2 linked regions of the Kluyveromyces lactis genome follow. The protein of the gene in region 1 interacts with the protein of each later gene in a pairwise test. Links are inferred from orthologs where the notes say so. Each region holds a gene or a part of one and is shown on either strand. Other genes may lie near its edges.

Region 1 (4,176 bases):
CAGCCTGAGCATGAGGGGACATTTCTGACATGGAAAGAGAAGGTGGAATGAACACATTGCCTGCGTTCAATCCACCTTGGTGATCTACATTCGATAACACAGATGAACCAAGCAAGTCGTTTTGATTCCGCGAAGGTGAAGACGACAATGATTTAGAAACTTCATTGATCATGTTGAAAATGTCATCATTCAACGTTGAATTATTCTGTAGAGGATTGGTTGAAACGGATCCGTAAGGAACACCTTCGGTTGTTGTGTCTTGATTTTTTTGCATTGACTTCTCATTCAATTTTTGATTTTCCTTTAGTTTTTGAAGCTGTTCTGCTTCCTTCTTCTTCAAAAGGCGTTGTTCTTCAAATTCACGCTGTTTTCTTTCCTTTTCCATTTTCTTTTGTTTTTGTTCTTCTTCGCGCTGTCTCTTTTGTTCCTCCTTTTCTTTACGAATGCGCTCTTGTTCTTCTTCCCGACGTCTTTGCTCCGCTAACTTTTTCTTACGTTTCTCATCATTCTTGCGTTTAGCTTCTTCAACTTTTTTCCTCTGAGCTTCTCTTCGAGCAATCTCCTTTTCCTCAGCTTCTTTCTTTAACCTGATTTCTTCTTCTTCTTGCCTCTTCTTTTCTTCTTCCTTTGCCAGTTGTTGTTGACGTTTTTTCTCCTTCTCCTTCTCCTTCTTCTTTAGTTTCTTCTTCTCCTTCTCCTTCTTCTGATTTTCTTCAGCTTCGAGTTCCATCAATAATCGTTCTCTGTTCTTTTCAGCCTCTTTCTCTTGATAGGAAGCGATAAGCTTTTTTTGGAGTAATTTAGTTATTGCGATCTGTATAAGCCTTCTACCTTCTTCTAAACGCTCGGCATGATCAAGCTCACTATCATAATTATCATCTATACCATCTTCAGATACATTTGAGGTGACAGAATTGTCGTGATGAATCAGTTGAGTGTGTCCATTTGGCACAGCAGAAGGGTCCTCATTCAGTTTCACGTTTTCATGTAGGTCATCATATATGATATCTTCATCCTCATTTTCATCATCGTAGCCAGAATCGAGGTGATGATCATCGATACATTCGTCATCAACATAGCCCTCTGCATCTTCATCATGATCGTTGCTTTCTTCATACTCATCGTTGGACCACTCATAAGATGCTTGGTCTTCGTCCGCTGAAATTTCATTACGTAAACGTTCTAGTTCTTCTTTATATTCTTTATCGTCTTGGTCAATTTCAGAGCGTCTCGTCTTATTAGTGAAGATATCATAGAATGCATTTTTCAGCGATGCAACCGCTTTAGGATCTTTAACAAATTTAAACGGAATACTGTCTATCAGAGAATCCACTTTATTGTTATCAACCAACGAAGGTCTATCCAGAGAGTCTGATTCAATAACGTCTTTTTTGTTATTTTCTTCTAAAGCATTTGCTGGTCCATTCACCCTTTCATTTTCGTGACTGTCGGATTCTGATACATCTATAACAGGTTCAGTGGGGTCCATTTCATAGATCTTCTTCTCAATTGAAACGGCCATGTTTTCCCTCCAATCTTGAAGTTCCTGTTGTAGAACAAGACTTTCCATAGCTCTTTTCAAACCTTCACCTTCATTATTCATCATATCCTCAGTTATAGCTTTAATGTGGGGATACATCATAGCTCTGTTGATGAATTCCTCGGCAATATGCGGATGAGAAGATACTACAGTTTTGGCAAAATGGAGAAGCTTAGAGTCAAACTCATCATGTTCGGGGATAACCTCATTAGTATTATCTATGTCATTGATAGGAGGGAGAGCTTCTTTACCTGTTGTAGACTCAGATACCTGCTTCTGTTTGCTACTTTTAAATTGTTCGATTTCGTGTTTCCAATCCAAAGCAGTCTGCGTTTTATTATCACTGTTCGGAATGGTGTCCATATTTGAATCAACTTCTTCTTTACCAAGGAAGTCAACTTGATATGATTTATCCAGCCCTATCGCTCCTTCTGAAAGACAATACTTTATGGCTGAATCTTCGCTTAATGAATCGAGGAAATCATTTGTACATTCATTTTCTGAAGTGCTAGCATTTTTCTCTTTCGGAAGTATGCTAGATAAAAAGGCATTTTTATTCGTTGAATCATTATTATCGTCGTTATCGTTATGGGCAAAGTTCTCATGACAAATATTGGAATCCTGTTTGTCCCCATGGTGACGCATATGGTGATGTGTATTATTACTACCATTCTGATATTCTTTTATTAGCTTTAAGTGGAACTGTACAAAATCTGTATCTGAATCTTCTTCCCTTGCACTATCGTAAAGTTCGCAATATATCTGTTCAATTTCTTGCTCTATATTCAGGTTGTTATGACGGCCACACATGCTACAATCACAATTATGCATATTCTTATACGATTTGATCATATCAAACAATTCGTCTTTGCTTATCCGTAGAATATTCCTTCTCTCTTCCAATGACAAAGATTCCCAATGGGTATCTAACTTGATTGGCCATTTAGTATCCTCGACTTCTTCATTATCAGCATCGGCATTGCAGTCTGCAGTATTTGTAACACCGCCACTATTAGTGCTGCTACTGCTGCTACCAGAACGATGATCCTGGTTTAGTTCTGATCTGTCTAATGATTCCTCTTCCGGAAGTGATTCCACTATGACATCTCCGTTTGGGGCTCTTTTGATCACACGAGAGGTAGGGTACTCTGCTTCATCATCGATGATTTCTGCGTGAATCTTCGATTCATGCAATTCCTTTTCACCCGCAGAACCATGCTGCTTCTTACTCTTCTTCTTACTCTTCTTATGTGCCACCATTTGTGAGTCTCTCTGTGATACTTTAAATCCTTCCACTAATTCTTTAACTACCTTTAGTAAAAAAGACTGTAAAAGGATGCTTGTAAATACTTTCCAAACTTTGATCTAGAGATTCTTTCACTAGTTGCAGCACTTTGGTCCGGTTTCGGCTTTCAATATCAACTACACTCCTCTTTTTACTTTACTTTCCTTAACTACACACTATACAAATTTTTGTTTTATATCCATTTTATTTGCATTATTCCAATATTTTAAATTTCCAAATTTTCTATATACAAAGAAAGAATCACTATTAAAAACCAGATGAGATAGAATTCAAAGGCTTTTTCAAATTTCAAACTCCTTACTATGAGAAGAAACCAGATTTCCAAAATTTCACTCAGTGCCGTATCAAGCAAGCCATAGTGAACAATGAAAAAAATGGAAGATACAAAGTACGGAGATAACGGAACCGGGTAATACGTAATAGCAAATGTGCGGGTAAATAATCACGTGCTGGTCTGAGATGAGTACTTTCTTCGCTCACTTAGGGTTACTCAATTACACGTATATATTTACTTAGTGCTATATAAAAAGAGAGATTTGGAAGGAAGGAGTTTTCGAATTATATTTTGAACTTCGGCGGCTAAAGTTCGGAAGATGAAGAGCTGGATGAAAAGGAGTTCTAGGCCTGCTTACCGATAATCGATAATGACAGGATCAATGCGAGAGAACTTGGTTAATACAGTGCTGCTTTGATGTGACATTTATGGTTTGATGAAATGATCACTCTTTAAATTGCCGTTATGTCGTTTCTATATTTAATAAATGATTCGAATGATCCTGAGATATCTCTATGTCACTGCTTAAAGTAAGATTGGCTCCGCATAAAAGGTCCTCTGATTCGCTATCTTTAATTGCACGCCTCCTTCCTCAAGATTCCAGCTAAAACAAAATACCCCTGGTTGACCAAATATACAAGAGATTAACAATACTGACTAACTATAGGTTTAACAAGCCACATATTAACTCTTCCTAGTGCATCCTTTTAAGCAATTTCATGTTTTTAAGATAAATTTGTTGGTCACGTGCACGAGATACATCAAGACTATCTACAGCCGTTTATGATTTCTTTCTTTTTCTACTCAAACAAAACTTGAAAAGCTATTGTCCCTGTGATATTTCCCAAGAATATTTCTGCTGTACATTTATTTAACCATCCCGTTCTGTTTAGTGAGAGTCGCACACTCCACCTGCGTATCTGCCAGTGATAAATTACTCCCGGTCAGCAGCGATGCAGTCTTCTGTGCTTCCAAGTACTTCCCAACAGTACTGGATTGATCCTGCAAATACATCAAATTATACTTCCCCTAATTCAAGACAAATTCTACGCATAG
Region 2 (2,909 bases), on another chromosome or scaffold:
TACTTGGTACTATGTTGCAATGACCATCCCAACAGCAGTATTATTTGCAGTTGTTTTCATGTACTTCTTCGTACAACTTAATGCTAGATACAGAGATTTTAGCGATGTTAAAAGAGACGCATTGAATCAAAAACGTAGAGTCATTGGTAAGTTCAAAGATATGAAAAAATACAAGAACATCAAGAATCACAAATATGACGAACTCCCTCTACACAAAAGTAGTAAACAAAGTTGAAAAGTAACGAACGAATATGTATTTACTCTATATAAATTTTGTATAGCTAATATTTTATGTGCAGTTTGAACATTTAATAATCAAAATTGACATTAGTCACCAAAATGAAAAAGCTGTTAAGAATAAGTTAAGAATAAGTTGAGAACGATGTAAACTAGCCCTTTAAACTTAACGAACTATAAAAGACAATCTTCAGTGCTTGAACTCATGAATATACAATAACAAATGCTATAAACCTATTCACCTGTAGAAGAAAAATATCTTTTCATATCCAATTCTCCTTGGCCGCTACTTCACAGATTTTTTCCAAAGTAGCTACTCGAGGATCAGGCTTTCTAGGCTCTTTGTCTAGTCCATCCTCAGGATCAATGACTTCGATATCAAGACTACTTGACTCATCCGGCAAATCCTCTATATAGTAAAAGAACGGTTCAAGAACAAACATTATTTTCCAAAAGTCAACTGAACCGCAGTTTGCGAACAGCACATCGATCAAACTAGGTAGATAAACCAGCTCAATATACTCTTCCGCACAGCATACAAACTGATCCAATTGGTAATCCTGTTCCTCTACACTCAAAGTAGAGTACATCTCCGATAATAAAGTCAATTCTTTGCTTATGGTTTTTGGAATATCTTGTCTTGCCTTCCAAAGAAGCTTCTGAGCATTAGCTAATTTGACTTCCACATTATCATTATCTGAGCTCGATTTACTATCGAGCATAAAGCCGGAATTCTCACTCTTTTCTATCAAGTCGTTGTATTCATTGTACAAAGAAATAATTTTCATCATAGGTTTGTACAACTGTTGACATACTTTTCTCTCTGATTTCGGTATGATAACCCTTTCCAGATAATGATTAATCAAGCCTTCCATGAAATTAGCCCATATAGAACTGTAGACGTAGTTTTCGTCATAAAGTGTCTCATCAAAATTCTTCTTGATATTCTCTCTCATCACATTTTCTAACAAAGTACAGAACAATTTTGGTTCTTTCTTGATATTTTTTGGCTCCACTTCTTCCTCATAATCCGAGCTATTCGGCTTACCATGTTTGTCCAACCAATAGTCTGGGCCGCCTCGTTGTGAGAGTGTTACTAGCAATAGAAATAGTTTTAATTTATCCATTGGCCTGATCAATTTTAGTACTACATTATCAGAAATCTTCGAAACATCATGATTGATCTTTCTGTGAATGCATGATATGAATGAGTGTATGATACGTGCTGTCCTCTGGCCATAATTGGTGCTTAAATACTCCATGGATGTTACAGTTTTATAATTTGTGTCTTGGAACCTCAAATCTCTAGTAAATTGAAACTTGTATCGCACTTGTTTGCGCGGCTTGCGAGTTGCGTGTGGCACACGAGCTTCTGCGGACATTATCACTATATCCTGTACGTTGTCGAGTTTCTGTAACTTGCTAAGGGTAAGGCCAGCCACTTGTCACCTTTACAAATTCCTTCAGTGAATGTTGATGTCTTCCAAGTTTTCAACACACTTTTGCAGTATCAAAAAGTGAAATTTCAATAGTTTTGTAAAGGAAAAAACAAGATAAACCAATAATGACAAACCCACCGTTAGCATGTATGACAATACTGAAATTTTATACTGAAATATCCAAAAAGAGTTTATTGGATAGAAGATAAATCGTTTCAGGTTAATCAATGAACTACAGTTTTGTCTTAACAGTAATGTGAAATTTCATACACGGCAAGTTATTGTCAACGTGAGTGCACACTAAAACGGCTAAAAAGACGTAAAATAAAAAATACATTACAAAATAATCTACTAAAGATATAGGCTGAACTGCAGTTCAATGGCAAAGTTCTGAATTAATGATAGATCTATGGAATTTCCTTGTTTATTATATTTATAGGAAAAGTATAGGCACTGATCGAATGAATTGGGGGTTTGGAAGGATAATATTAGTTCATTAAACGACATGAGGTTTACTCAATGTTTTTAGATGTTCTGGAAGAATCTTCATCCGAGTTGATATCAGAAACGTCGACCTTTTCGACGGCATCTGGATCCATACCTAAGTCTCTGATTATTTCTTCTTCTGACTTCTTAACACCCATCAAACCGTAGGTTGATAGGGAAATTAAACCAAGAACACCTGCTAGACAGGAAAAGGTCATAGCAACAATACCCTTAGCAGTGAAACCATCTGGAATGTTAGCCACTTGAACGTTTTGACCGACTAGATCCAAGAAATCGTTAGTGTTTCCTGCAGCGTTACCTTCCCAAGAAAGACCGACATTTTCGCAGACTTGCTTGTGGTTATCAGTCAATTGTTGGGATTCAGTGTTTTGCATTTCTTCTGGTGCTTCAATCAACAACAATGCAAGACCTTGCTTCAAATGCCATTCAATGTGACAATGGAAGAACCAAACACCTGGATTGTCGGCTTTGAAACGCAAGACTATACTGGATTGTGGATTCACGTAAACGGTATCTCTCATCATTGGGTAATCTGGGAAAGGATTGTGGTCTTCTGGATCGAATGGATGAGGTCCTTCACCAATTGCATCATCGTAACCACGTTCTCTGTCAACCAATTGGAAAATGTGACCGTGTAAATGGAAAGGATGCTTACCAGTATCGTTGTTATTCAAGACAATTTCAATAATTTCATCCTTTTTCAAGACGAAAGCATTTGTGTTGGTA

The links.
Region 2: the proteins of NST1 (region 1) and AAN1 interact in binary tests that used the Saccharomyces cerevisiae proteins (3 or more experiments, as listed by UniProt). The link is inferred for Kluyveromyces lactis from reciprocal best matches to the Saccharomyces cerevisiae genes NST1 and AAN1.

What each region holds. Positions count from the first base shown.
Region 1 is NC_006039.1:1,177,472-1,181,647, reverse strand, and holds the start of NST1 (Nst1p), read right to left. Parts: upstream 2,801-4,176; coding exon 1-2,800. Other genes in the region: YVC1 (Yvc1p), read left to right, coding at 4,074-4,176. UniProt on the Saccharomyces cerevisiae protein: With MSL1, acts as a negative regulator of salt tolerance.
Region 2 is NC_006042.1:2,441,442-2,444,350, forward strand, and holds AAN1 (Aan1p), read right to left. Parts: upstream 1,620-2,909; coding exon 501-1,619; downstream 1-500. Other genes in the region: PSG1 (Psg1p), read left to right, coding at 1-235; ferroxidase FET3, read right to left, coding at 2,189-2,909.